Anolis sagrei: one gene and its partner. The main gene of each other region encodes a partner of the protein of the gene in region 2 in a complex. Links are inferred from orthologs where the notes say so. Each region holds a gene or a part of one and is shown on either strand. Other genes may lie near its edges.

Region 1 (7,414 bases), about 55 Mb from region 2:
TTATTGGAGATCTTACATGCAGGATAGTTTTCTGCAATGCCAACAAATAAGAAGACAGCACAAAGCTAGTTTCAAATATTTGGGTTTGGAGAAAACTTTTGCTTTGAGAAGGCCTCTTAAGAGTAGACCGATATACCAGGATCTGATCCCAAATTATCTATTTTGAACTGGATTATATGAGTCTACACTGATAAATAATCTGGGATAAGAAGATAATCTGGAATCAGATCCTGGGATATAGGGCAGTATAGATCCAGTCTTAAGAGGCCTTCTCAAAACAAGAGTTATCTCCAAACCCAGATAATTGAAAATAGACTGTCTCGATTCAGTCTAAGAAGCAGAACCCTTTTGCTAGAGCTGTTTCCGACTTATGAAAGCTCTGTCAGTGGGTTTGCTTGGAAAGATTTGTCCAGAGAGGGTTTGCCTTTGCTTTTCTTTGAGGCTGAGACAGTGTGGGGTCTCCACGGCTGGATGGGGGAGTCTCCAAATCGCTTCAACCACTAAAGGAAACCGAAGAGCTCACAGATATCCTGGATTTCAGGAGAGGATGCTAGTTCGGTTTATGTGACCCCATCCTCCACCCTTAATCTCCTGTATTCGGCTCCCCCCTCTTGGTTTCCTAAACAACCTGCCCCATAGCACAGGGGTGAAGGAAGAGAAGCGGACAGAAAATTGAGATGAGAGGAAGAAAGAGGAAAGCCTGTCTCTCCAACTATGGCACCAACAAGGAAAGTTGGGAGGAGATCCTCAAAAGAATCACCCTCTTTCCTTTCCTCTCCTCTCACCTTCCTTCTTCTCCTTGGGGTTTTAGACTCATTAAGAATCCCAGTTCTTTCAAAAACTCCTCGGGTGGAGAAGAAAAGGGCAAGGAAAGGAAGGAAATATACCCTATCCTTTATCCACCAAACTGGCGAGCCTAGAGGGAGAGAGGATGAGCCATGGCGTCGAAGGCACTGGTTCTTTTGAGATAGTGGCGAGTGGTTGTTCTCCCCTGCCATCCTTACATACACATAGAGTCCTGAAATAAAAAAAATATTCCAAACACACCACATCACCTTCACCCTTCTTAAGGAGAAAAGAGCATTATCTCCGAAGTATCTTCTGTTCCTCCAGCTTATTAAATAACCCAAGCGCCCAAGTACAACCACAAGCAGAGGTGGTATGTGTACTTCTAGGGCCATAAGTGAATGCATGGATCAAGATGTATCTTTTTATCCTGATTAAGGATGGTTCAAAGGAAGGGAAGAAGAGAGGAAGGAAAAGAAAAGAGGAAACGAGGAGGGAGTGAGGGAGGGAGGAAAAGATTGGAGTAGCATTCCAACCTGTCTTTTCCCCAGTTGTTTCTTTGGCTTGGAGCAACCTTTCCCAGCTTCGAATAGGTTTGAAATACCAAGATTTGAGGAGGGCCACTCTTTATCCGAAATTGTAGGAGCACTGGCGATTTTCTCTCACTCCTGATTAAGGATGGTGAAAAGGAAGGGTGGAAAGGAGGTGAGTGGGCGGAAGGAAAGAAAGAAAGAAAGAAAGAAAGAAAGAAAGAAAGAAAGACAGACAGACAGACAGAGGAAGAGAAGAAAGCAGGTAGAAGGAAGGAAGGAAGGAAGGAAGGAAGGAAGGAAGGAAGGAAGGAAGAGACGATCGAGAAGGGAAGGGAAGAAAAAAAGAAAGAGGTAGGAGGAAAGAAAGAAGGAGGAAGAGAAGGAAGGGAGGGAGAGAGGGAGAGGAGGAAGGGGTTGGAGGAAAGAAAAAAGGAGGAAGAGAAGAGAAAGAAGACATGAAGGAGAGTGGGAGGAAAGAAAGAAAGAGGAAGTGAAGGAAGGGGGTAGGAGGAAAGAAAGAAGGAAGGAAGAAGAGACGATAGAGAAGGAAGGGAAGGGAAGAAAGAAAGGGGGTAGGAGAAAAGAAAGAAGGTGGAAGAGAAGGAGGGAAGGAAGGAAAGAAGAGGAGGGAGGGGTAGGAAGAAAGAAAGAAGGAGGAAGAGAAGAACATAAGGAAGGAAGGAAGGAAGGAAGGAAGGAAGGAAGGAGGAAAGCAAAAGGAGGAAGAGGAGGAATGGGATAGAAAGAAAGAAAGAAAGAAAGAAAGAAAGAAAGAGAAAGAGAAGAAAGGTAAGGAAGGAATGGAAGGGAAATAGAAGGAAGAAGAGGAAGGGAGTAGAAGGAATGAAAGGAGAAAGAGAAGGAAGAGAAAGAAGGAATGAAGGGATTATAGAGAAGGGAGGGGAGGGAGGGAAGAAAGAAAGAAAGAAAGAAAGAAGAGAAGAGAAGGAAGGGGATAGGAGGAAAGAAAGAAGGAAGAAGAGATTATAGAGAAGTGAGGGGAGGGAAGAAAGAAAGAGATAGGAGGAAAGAAAGAAGGAGGAAAAGAAGGAAAGAAGGGATAAGGAGGAAAGAAAAAGGAGGAAGAAGAGGAAGAGAAGGAAGGAAGAGGAGGAAGGAGTTAGGAGGAGAGAAAGAAAGAGGAAGAGAAGGAAGAGAAAGCAGGAATGCAGGTGGTAGGAGGGAGGGAAAAGAAAGGGAAAGAGAAAAGAAGGAAGGAAGGAAATAAAGGGAAGGGAATTGTCTTTTCCCCAATCGTTTATTTTGCGTTGAGCCCTAGAAAGTCCTTGCCCGCTTTCCCAGGAATTCGTAGGTTTGGAATAGCCAGATCTGGGGCGAGGGCACCCCATGGTTCCCCCCTCCCGCCTTATATACCGACCTGGAGGGGAAGCGGCGGCTGATCCAGGCAGGGAGGCAGGGAAGGCGGCGGCGGCTGCGGGCGGAGCCGAGGCCGGGCCGGGGCTGGCTTTCTTGGCGCCCTTCTTCTCCTTCATCCAGGGGAATTCCCCGGCCAGGGGGGCGGTGGGGGCGGGGGGCACCGTCGGGGGCGCCGTCGTTTTCGGGGCCTGCCCATGCCCGTGCCCGTGCCTCCGTCTCTTTTGGCTCCTTGGCGTGGGTTGGCCGCTACTGCCGCCGCTGCTGTTGCTGCTGCTGCTGCTGCTGAGAGAAGAAGGATCCAAACCGAGGAGGCTTTGCTCCGAAGGAGGAGGAATTAACGTCGGTGGCTCCTTGATTGATGAAGTTTGAAATGTCTCCAGGACAGCGGGAAGGGACGTCAGACACTCCGCTAGCGATGGCTGGCTGTTTATGAAGCCGATCTCCCTCTCAAATTCAAAATTCATGGCTTTTTCCAAGGGGCCCAGTACAAAAGGGAGGGGGAATGGAGGGGAGGTGGGGGGGGGGGGAGAAGAGAGAGAAATGCGGGTGGGTGGGTGGGTGGGGAAGCAACGATTGATCTTGAAGGCCCTTCTAATATTTTATATCGCCTTAGTATTAATGTTACTTGCCGTCTCCTCCCCCCTCTCCCTGCCCCCCTTTGCAAAAAAAATATCTTATATTGCAGATAATACAAGCGTATGGGGACCTTGCTCTATTAAACTGACGAGCAGGGATAAATTGCAGCCAATTCCTGGTCACGTGGCCTGGCTTGCCCAATAGGAGGGCCGGCTTGGTTGAAAACAGGTTTGTTTTTCATGCATTTGAATAATAATAATAATAATAATAATAATAATAATGTATATATAATAATCATAATAAATATATAATAATCATAATAAATTAATTATTAAAGCAGCTTTTGGAGAATCTCTGTCCTCTTATATAGGATGACTCCTAAGGAAAATGCCAAGAAAAGGTTGTGCAAGAAAGGGGGGACAGAATGGTGCTGGTTGGCTGAAGTCTGCCTTTTTCACTTCCAAGGGGAGAGAAAGGCCCATCTTAACCCCAGTTCCCAGGAGGGAACAAGCAGGACAGAAGGAAACCCAGCTCTTGTCCCAAAGGACAAGAGACAGAGTTCAGAGATGATGGAAGAGGACGTTTCCCAGGCAGATTCAGAAAACTAAGTTAACAACCAACCCCACCCAAAATCTAGGCAGAGAAAGCAGCCCTCTTAAAGATATTAGATCTGCAGGTTCTTTTAAAAAGCTACTTCAAAACGTTTTCGTTAGTAGTCCAATTGTAGGCCTTTTGATCAGCTAGAATGTCAAAAGTCATTTGAAAAACAAATAAGTCTAGTTTTTGACTGATTAAAGACCAGAGGTGGTAATATTTCTGCACACACCCCCAATAATAATAATAATAATAATAATAATAATAATAATAACTTAACTGCAAAAGGCCACCTTACTTGGATCTGTGTGCATCATTCGAAAATACATCACACAGTCCTAGACGCTTGGGAAGTGTTCGACTTGTGATTTTGTGATACGAAATCCAGCATATAGATCTCATTTGCTGTGACATACTGTGCTTTTGTGTCCATAATAATAATAGTAATAATAATCTATAAATTAAAGTGTAATGTTCGTTTGTGGGATTCGCATAACTCAAAAACCACTGGATGAATTGACACCAAATTTGGACACAATACACCTATCAGGCCAACAAGTGACCATCATTCATAAAACACTGAAAAACACAGAAGAGACTAAAAAAGCCAAAAAACACATTACAATACATATATGAGCAAACACACATATTCACAAATATATACACACATATATACACACACATATACACAGACTGGGCCACAGCAATGCATGGCAGGGGATGGCTAATAATAATAATAATAATAATAATAATAATAATAATAATAATAAATGACACAGTCCTAAATGCTTGGGAAGTGTTTGACTTGTGATTTTGTGATATCCAGCATACATAACTCATTGGCTGTGTTATACGGTGTTTTTGTGTCAGTAAAATAATAATAATAATAATAATAATAATAATAATAATAATAATAATGTATTTATATTCTGCCCTATCTCCCTGGAGGGACTCAGTGTATATCTGCAGATCATCAAGCTGATTTGAAGCATTTCTTTTCTAATATAAGTTTATTAGATGTGCTCAAGAATATTTCCACTACTAGGCCATCAAACAAAAAAAGTTGTACACAAAGTGAGAGAAAGAGCCAAGAGTGTGGGGGAGAGAGGCAGAGGCAGAGAGAAGCGATCAATCTTTTCTCACCAAAGACTCCTGACAGCCCTGCCTTTGCTCACATCCTAAAGAATTTGGACCTTCCTCAAAATTCCTAAGAAATGTCCTTCTTCCTTCAGAGATTTGGGAGCAAAGGTACCAAAATATAACCTCTTGGAGATTGGAGAGAAAGTGAGAAACAAATAAATCAAAAATTCTGAAAACATAGGATACTTTTTGGGGGGAAAGTCTTTGTTTATCAAAGCTCAATTTATCCCCTTCCAGAGTCTTGTTAGAGACAAGACCAGGGCTGGGAAAATGTATTGAGAAATGGAGTGAAGCTCAGAAACTTTTGTGTACTGAAATGTCTGTGTGGGTGGCTTTAAATAGAAGCCCTAAAACTGGAGGTGTATGATGCTTTAGAATTGAGAAAAAAATGTTACCACTAGTAGTAGTATCTTTATTATGGTTATTATTACCAACGAGCTCTTCATATTTTGAGGGGTGCTATGAAATGAGTTATTAAAGCAGTATATTTTTCTGTTATTTGGTAGTATGCCTATGCTATTATAAGTTTATTAGTATACCTAGTGGTGTGAGAACAACAACAACAACAACAACAACAACAACAACAAAAACTTTATTTGTATTCCGACCTATCTCCCTGAGAGGCTCAGAGTGAATTCCAGGAAACTAGGAAATTGTAAACTGGTATATGAGAATTTAAGCCAATATATAGACCATGTTTCAGCCAAAACTCTTTGCTAATGAAGTCCCATTTATTTTAATGAGAGACTCCAGCACTAATTTCTCCCATTGAAATGGATTGATCTTGAAAAACTAGAATTTTCTTTTTTTTAGTATACTTTCCATTAAAATCAAATACACTGTCTGTATTGTGAATTTGCATTGTAAAGCCTATTGCTGTTGCTGCTGCTATGCTATTATAACTGTTGTTTCATCTTTGGACCATGTGTATAGAAATAAATACTTTGAAAACTTCCTTCCAGAGTTTCTAAAATTACTATGAGAATAAGACCATAGTAAAGCATCTACCAACCTGGGATGTTCAGAAGTGCTGGACTACTGCTCCCATCATCCTCAGAAATCATGGCCATCCCTGATGTATATTTAATGGTAGGACTTAGAGCACAACATGCTTGGAGACCATGAGGCTGGAGAAGAATAGCTTACTACTATAATAAGATGCTATGGAGTTCTGTAATTGTAGTCATGTTTGGTCTGTATCTGTAAAAGTTTAGTATTATTTTCTAGTCTTATTGATTTCAAAAAAGTAGAGTTTTTTTCATGTCAGGAGCTACTTGAGAAACTGCAAGTAGAGTGAAAATAATGTGAAACAAATGCAAAAAGGGGAAATGAATGTTGCCATCTATACCTGTTTACAGAAAGGTGGGGTCTGGCTGAAATAATCTAGAAAGAATTGATACAGAAATACAATTATTTTTTAATGCTTGAGCAAAATTTGGACATGGTAAATTTCTTGTCATACAGGTAGTCCAAATATGTAACTTTTCTAAGCTCTATTTATTCCCATACAGTAACTCCAAGAAGAATTCCACATTTAGTTCCACTTTCAGCTCATGAGCATCAGTTTCCATAGGACGTCCATCTGGCATATTAAATTACATTGGGTTGTCTTTTCACTACTAATTCTCCAGCCCTGTCCATTTCTTGCTTTCTTTTAAAAGCCTTAGATGTTTTTGTCTATACTTGGCTCATTCTTAGTGACACTGCATAATAGGTTTTGTAGTTCTAAGATTATGTAAATTAATGTAAGACTACATTCATTGCAACTATGGTTTGGTTCATGGTACATAAAATATCATAAATACTTTTATTTGGTCTGTCCTGTTCTGAATAAGTTTGAAAATTGTTTTGAGGAGAAAGAGGTGATTGCCAAGGATTTTTAAAAGTACACATACTAAAAAATACTGATGACTTAGCTGAGAAAGACTGACCTACAGTGAGCACGAAGATTATTATTATTATTATTAATAATAATAATAATAGTAATAATAATAATATTGCAATCCCAGGCGAGAGCTGGATTGAAGAGAAACAACTGGAAAAGCTGACATGATATGAGGATTTAAAGATTGAACTGCAAAGATTGGCACAAACCAGTAAAGGTGGTCCCAGTGGTGATTGGCACACTGGGTGCAGTGCCTAAAGACCTTGGCCCGCACTTAAACACAATCAGCGCTGACAAGATTACAATCTGCCAGCTGCAAAAGGCCACCCTACTGGGATCTGCATACATTATTCGCCGATACCTTACACAGTCCTAGACACTTGGGAAGTGTCCAGTGTGTGATCCAATACAACAGCCAGCGGAATGATCTTGTTTGCTGTGGACTCATCTTGTTGTGTTTCTGATGATGATGATGATGATGATGATGCATCACACAGTCCTAAACACTTGGAAAGTATTCGAC
Region 2 (7,325 bases):
CAAGTTCAGCACCTTGGTGGTTTAATTCACTGCACCACCAGTTATCTGTTAAATCTTAATTTGCAGGATAGTGCCCACTATTTTAGAGGGCAATGGACTATTCGGGGTGGGGGGAGAGAAGCAAGGCAGACTCCATGACAGAGACAGAGCTGTTTTCAAGAGAAAAGCCAATGGACACTAAGGGGCTGTCCTCACTGCTCCTTAGTGCTTTCCTTCTAAAGCAGTTGCTTCTACAGTCTCGCTTATCCGACATTCCGTCTCATCCGACGCTCCTATCCTTTTTCCTCCAGCATTTCTCTTTCAATTAAAGGAGCACTTCCCAACTCTCTCTCCATTCCCTATAAGTGAAAAAGGTGAGACAAGGGGGGTGAGGAAGAGGCAGGACCGGAAGCAGAAGCATCCTTCCTCCTTCCCTCTGTGATTTCCATGTTCCTCTTCCACATCTGGACACTTCCTGCTGGGCCACTCTAACCCCGAGGCATTGCCTTACATTAACCATTTGAGTCCCTGTTGTAGTATTCTAGGTGTCTAGCACTGCATCAAATGGCTAACAGTAGGAGACTCCATATTATTCAACATTTTCGTTTATCCGACGTTCTGTTGGCCCATTTATGTCAGATTTATTGGTCGTGTCAGGAGTGACTTGAGAAACTGCAAGTCGCTTCTGGTATGAGAGAATTGGCCATCTGCAAGGTCGTTGCCCAGGGGACACATGGATGATTTGATGTTTTTATAATCCTTGTGAGAGGCTTCTCTCATGTCCCCGCATGAGGAGCTGGAGCTGATAGAGGGAGCTCATCCGCCTCTCCCCGGATTCGAACCTGTGACCTGTCGGTCTTTCCTCCTGCCGGCACAGGGGTTTAACCCACTGTGCCACCAGGGGCTCCTGTTTATGTCAGATAAGCGAGACTCTATTGTATTTGCCTAATAATGAGGCTGGTCATAACAACTCAGGTAACACCAGGGCACAGCCATTTGTGTTGGCTTTGCAATGACTTCTAGATAGTTATTGTATCATATTGCCAGTAACACTTGTTCTTAGTGCATACCTCCCCCCTGTACGAAGGTACCTTTTTCGACCCCATTTCGGAAGAGTTCCCCCCTCGCAAATAGTAAAGGTATCTCACCCCATTTTTACCTTTAGTATTTCACTCTATACATGCGGCCCACTCACTGTTTTGTGTTATGAATGATTTTATTGCAATTTTATATTGGTTATAGTATTTTATAGTTTATGTTTTATGTAATTGTTTATGTTCTTGTTTATGTTTGTATTCTATTTATTGTGTTGCGTTGTTGGACTTGGCCTCATGTAAGCCGCCCCGAGTCCCCATTGGGGAGATGGTGGTGGGGTACAAATAAAGTTTATTATTATTATTATTATTATTATTATTGGGACAGGTAATGCTTTGACCACTCCCTCGTGATTTTTAAGAGCAGTTAACTGTGTTGTTTCAAAGTACCAACATGCATATCAGGAATCACTCCTTCAGTACTACAAAGCTATTTAAGTTATACACTTAGTACCAAAGTACTCTGATTCTTAGATATACACTCTTTTGATCATACTGACTGGAAGTTGGACGATGTCCAGTCTATGGAAGACTACAGATTCTCTACCTGTCTGATGGATTTGCAAAAAAATTAAGAATATTTTGAAAGGACAGGAATCTGAGATTGAACCAGCAGTGGACTGAAGTTGTAATGTGTTAAAATTATTATTTTTTCAGTTACTAAAATGTAGCCAAAAGTTTTGTCTTTCTGAACTAAGAACTGCCAAGTTGGCATTTTTGTCAGCATACAACAACATATAATACAACCTTTACTTAGGTTTCATTCTGATGAATAATAATTAGTATTATTAATAATTATTATTATTTCAGAAATGGTATATTATTACCAGTTATTAAAGAAAGGTGTGCCCTTATAATCATTGCCCGGGCATTGTTTGCATGCCAAAATATGCCTATAGTTAAATCTGTTGTGAAAGAAGCATGCATAATCCAGAAATTAAAAGGAGCAGGGTGGATTTGACACTGAATTCCCTGCTTTCAGATCAATCAGGTAGCTTCCTGAGGTTTGGGGGGCTGGGAAAGGTTTGTAAGGATTGTGTTTCCAAGAACTTTGCCCAGGTTTCTCTATACTCTGCTCCTGTGAAGACAGGAAAGGTCTCAAAGTCTGTCTGAGAGGCTGCAGGGAGGTTTTAAAAGGTACCAAAACGGGAAATGAACCCGAAGGCAGAGAACCAACAGAGCCGAATACCTTCTAAGTAACTCTAGTGGGGAACGCCAAGCAGGGATACAAAGCTCTCCAAATCCCAGGTTTAAAGGCAGCACTCCTCCCTCCCTCTTTCAATGGATTTCTAGGAAGCCAGCTTTCTCGGTTGCCGGTCCAGGTTTCAGAGCAGAAGAGCCAATATGCTCGCATTCTGACACAGAAGTTTCCCTTTCCTTTTTCCACTTCCTCGCCGTGTGTCTCTTTCTCTGTGTCTCTGAAGCCACGATCCAGCAGTCGAAAGAGTGGCCCCTCCCTCCATATATATATTTATGATCTTCCTCTCGGTATTTTTATATGTATCACAATTTCAGAAAGAGAGGAAGATCATAACCCGTTCCTTCCTTCCCGATCTTCTCCCGAGCCTTAAAATATTGATCACCTTTGTTAGATTTTGGAAAACTGCCCTGCTCGGTCATATTCTTCCTCTACCTCCCACCCCTCAAACATTATTTCTTAGTTGTGAGTTTTTCCATGTTCCAGAAGCATTCTCTCCTGACGTTTCGCCTGCATCTATGGCAGGCCAGGCATCCTCAAAAGTCGCTTCCAGTTACTACAATGCAACCTGAGCCCTGCCACATCCACTGTGGAGGACCTCCTTAAAGTAACACCAGAGGCACTCCCAAGTGGCCAGCTACTGGTCAAAGGATATTATTTAGTATAAGGCCAAGTTTTTAAAAACTTTAAAAAAAAACCCAATACTGTATACAGTACAACTGTACCCCCAGTTCGCGTCTGATATGATAAATACATATCCCCAGAGGTTGTGAGGTCTGTTGGAAACTAGGAAAATGGGGTTTATATATCTGTGGAATGTCCAGGGTGGGAGAAAGAACTCTTGTCTGTTTCAGGAAGGTGTGAATGTTGCAATTGTCCACCCTTGATTAGCACTGAATGGCCTTGTAACTTCAAAGCCTGTCTGATTGCTGCCTGGGCATCCTTTGTTGGAAAGTGTTAGCTGGCCCTGATTGTTTCTTGTCTGTAATTTCCTACTTTGAGTATTGTTCTTTATTAACTGTTTTGATTTTTGAGTTTATTTTTAATACAGGGGAATTCCAGACAAGAAACAACCAGGGCCATCTAATCACACACACCCCCAACAAAGCATTCCCCCAAGCAAGGAGCAGCCAGACCTTGAAGCTGCAAGACCAGTAAATGCTAATCATAAAGTTGGAAGAGACCTCGTGGGCCATCCAGTCCAACCCCCTGCCAAGAAGCAGGAAAATCGCATTCAAAGAACCCCCGACAGATGGCCATCCACCCTCTGTTTAAAAGCCTCCACCACACAGAGTTCCACTGCTGGTGGTCAATTGCAACATTCACACCTGCCTCAAGCAGAGTTCTTTCTCCCACCCTGGACATTACATAAACCCCACTTGCCTGGTTTCCAACAGATCTCTCAACCTCTGGGGATGCCTGCCATAGATGCAGGCGAAACGTCAGGAGAGAATGCTTCTGGAAGATAGCCATAGAAGACAGCAACCCAGTGATCCCGGCCACGAAAGCCTTCGACAGTACATTATTTCTTAGATTTGAAGTGAGCAGCAGCTGACAGCCAAGCATGTGGTGTATAAATATTAGAGTGGAGGGGGGAATAGAGAAGGTGGGGGTGAGAGATAAATAGAGAGATAGATAGAAAGTGGGGGGAAGAGAAGGAGGAGGAGATAAAAAGGGGAGACTCAGCAGCCTTGGTGGTGAGCCTGTGAGGGGCGCTGCTCTCCGGGAGGAAAGAAGGGGAGCAGCGTTGAGGAAAAGAGAGGTGGGGGAAAGAGAAAGAGGAGGGGGCAGGGATGAGAATAGCGTTGAAAAACAACAACAACACAAGCCCAACAGTGATGAGCTCCTTCCCGCCGCACGGGGACTGGGAGGGAAGTGTGTGCAGCCTGTGAGTGCGTCTCACCTGACTTCCTCCTTCCCCGGGGCGGCGAGGGAGGAAGGCAGAAAGAGAGAGAGAGAAAAAGAGAGAGAGAAACAGGCAGGAAGGCAAGCAGGCGCGCTCACCAGCCAGCCCCACACAAACAACAACAACAACAACAACAACAAAACCTAGGGGAGGGTGGCAGAAGGAACGGCAGACGCCGGCGGACGAGGAGAGCAGAGGAGACAAGCACAAAAACAATAATTATAACAACAGCAGCAGCAGCAAGAAGGGAAGCCAAGCCAACCCTCTCCTCCTCCTCCTCCTGCCAACCTTTCTTCGCCCCTCACTCCGTCTCAGTCTTCTCCGCGGGAAGAAAAGAGCCAGAAGGCAAAGAGACAAAAAGAAAGAGAGAGAAAGAAAGAAGAAAGCGAAACAGAGTTCCTGATCGAGGAAGGAAGCCGAAGGAGGAGCCCCGCGTCGGGCACTTGGTGGGCTTCAGTGCCAGCCGAGAGAAAGAGAGAAGGTGGAAGAGGCAGGCGGTGGGTCGGTCGGTCGGTGGGGCGCCGCCTTCTCGTCGTCTCCTTCCTCCTCCTCTTCAGTCGCCGCCTGCCAGGCAGTTCAGGAGCAGAGGAGGGAGGGAGAGAGGGTGGCAGGCTCTCTCTCTGTCTCTCTCTCTCTCTCTCTCTGTGCCCCCTCCTCCTTTCCTCTTCTCTTCCTCCTCCTCCTCCTCCACCTCCTCCTCCTCTTCCTCCGCGCTCCTTCCTTTAAACGCCCACTCCTGATGGCTGAAAAGACAACTTGAAGTTCAGTGCAATTAACTTCGCCGGCGCCGGGGAAGCGGAAGGTGTCGCCCAGCCTCGCCGCGCTCTCATGAGTGAGTGACTGACTCCGTCCTTTCTCGCCTGCCTGACTGCCTGCCTTCCTTTCCTTCTTTCCCTCCACTTCCAACACCCTCTTCTTTTCCCCCTCCCGCTCTTTTGTTGTTGTTGTCGTTTTGTATCCAATTCTGGGTGTGAAGAGTTCAAACTTGAGTTCGGGTAGGAAGGGCTGAGGGGTTGAGAGAGCTTGTATCTATCTACTTCTGAAAGTGAAGAGTTCACACTCAGCTGAGGGAAAGCCTTAGAGTGACCTCACAACCTCTGAGGTTGTTTGCCATAGATGCAGGTGAAACGTCAGGAGAGAATGCTTCTGGAGCGTGGCTACATAGCCCGGAAAACTTACAGCAATCCTTAGAGGGTTGTTTTAGTTTTTTTCGGGCTGTATGGACATGTTCTAGAGGGGTTTCTCACTCATCTTTAGGGGGGCTTAGAGGGGCTTCTCACTCATCTTTAGAGGGGCTCAGAGGGGTTTCTCACTCATCCCACTTTGTACCCCTTTTTTGGCTGAAAAGGGGTGGGAGCGACTATTACGCGGTGAAACCAATTCCAGCTATGTGGCTTTATTCAGGCAGCAGCTTTACTTCCCCATGTACCTATTCCCTAGCTACCAGCGAAGGTCTTCAGGGCCGAGGTCTTCGTAGGGTTTTGGGGTTTTTTGTAAGTTCGTGGCTTTTTTGTTTCTGACAGACATTGGTTTTTGGTGAAATGGCTCGGAGGCACCTCCGAGAGGCACCTGCCGGCGGGGAAGTTGAGGCAAGCGAGGTCCGTGGCGCCGGGAGAAAAGTTTGGGCTCAACTCCGTCTCGCCTTCCCGGAGCGCAGCCAGGAAGTTTTAGGTTCAGGGGCCTTTGAGGCGAGGCTGAGGAAGGAAGGAAGGAAGGAAGGAAGGAAGGAAGGAAGGAAGGAAGGAAGGAAGGAAGGAAGGAAGGAAGGAGACTCAGGGGAGATGCTGGCGGCGGGAGGAAGAGGAGAGGAAGGCCGGGGACTCTGACAAGACTGACAGGAAAGTGAGCGAGTTTGAAAAGGCGAGGTGAACACTCTCTCGCCAGACAAGGGAGAGGTCAATTTAGAGGCGCTTTTTGGCGGGAAGAGTTCGTGTTTCCCAAAATTGAGGGCATTTGATGGGCGGGATGTGTCCAATTGTCCCTCGGATGACCTTAAGGAGGCGGCTTCTCGCTCACACCTTCGCAGGTGCCTCTCTCTTTCCCTCGCATCCCGCCTTTCCCTGGGCAGCCTCCATCCCGCCTCCTTCCTTTTAAGCACTGGGTGGTCCCTGAAACGGCACCCCATAAGGAAATGCAGTTTCCTTTGGCTATTCACCTGAACTTTTCCTAAGTGTCCCCTCCAGAAGGAGGCACTGGATCACTCATCTTCCCCTTTCTCCTCCCCTTAACAAAAAATCCTGATTTTGGAAAGCTTTTGACAGCTTTAGAAAGCCACATAGATCCAGAATAGTTTCAGAGGGTACCTTCTGAAGTTGTGTCAGAATACTTTAGTTTCAACCAGCCTTTTTCAGAGGTGTGTCTCAACAGGTTTGGCGATGACAGCTAACTTGTGCTGGAGCAAAAGTTTCTCTTTTAGTGGCAGAGAATTGCTTTGCTTTGTTGGAAGGGAATTCCGGCTGTGATTCTTGGCATCAGTACCATCTGATTTGCATTTTATTTGAGAGATCCGTTTAAACTTGAGAGTCCCCTCCCCAAAATAAGGTTAAATGTGAATTTCTTGGGCAAGCAGCATAACTTCCCAGTGAAGCATTCTGTAGTTAAATTGGATGATGTTCTAATCTGACAGATCGTTATTCTGTGTTACTAAAAGATATGACTGAGAAACTGCCACTTATTTTTTCTCCCCCAACTATTATTTTGGTTTTGTGCATTCTTACTTACAGTCTGCTCCACTCTGCTGGCAAACATTAGCACTCCAGCTTACACTTTTTTCTTTGACAAATGTGCAGACAGGCATAGCATTAAGAGACATCTTAAATATTAACAACCTAAGCATCTGTTGTGAAACAAATTTAATATATTTACTCTGTTTTTCCTCACATTGCTAAGAAAGGTTAGAATATGTGAAAATTCTAACTTAAGCTGGCAAAAAGGAATTGAATGAGTATTTCACTGTCTTGTCAACAGTGTTTACACCGATCACCAAATATGGGGATCTTAATTTGTGCCATTGTTTCAAACAGAAAACAATATTCATACTGTACAGAGGCGTGAACGTAGCTTAATAAGCTTAGGCGCATTATAAAACTTGTCTTCCTAATCTGTTCCAACATTCACTTGTGTTTCAGATACATCGCTTATCAATTAG

What was found.
Region 1: SATB1 (region 2) and HOXB2 share a complex: the UniProt entries of both Homo sapiens proteins name them as parts of the nuclear protein complex. The link is inferred for Anolis sagrei from reciprocal best matches to the Homo sapiens genes SATB1 and HOXB2.

The regions. Positions count from the first base shown.
Region 1 is NC_090026.1:33,270,063-33,277,476, reverse strand, and holds the start of HOXB2 (homeobox protein Hox-B2), read right to left. Parts: upstream 3,168-7,414; 5' UTR 3,161-3,167; coding exon 2,698-3,160; intron 1-2,697. UniProt on the Homo sapiens protein: Sequence-specific transcription factor which is part of a developmental regulatory system that provides cells with specific positional identities on the anterior-posterior axis.
Region 2 is NC_090026.1:87,919,026-87,926,350, forward strand, and holds the start of SATB1 (DNA-binding protein SATB1), read left to right. Parts: upstream 1-4,081; 5' UTR 4,082-5,005; coding exon of another isoform or gene 5,006-5,009; intron 5,010-7,305; 5' UTR 7,306-7,325. UniProt on the Homo sapiens protein: Crucial silencing factor contributing to the initiation of X inactivation mediated by Xist RNA that occurs during embryogenesis and in lymphoma.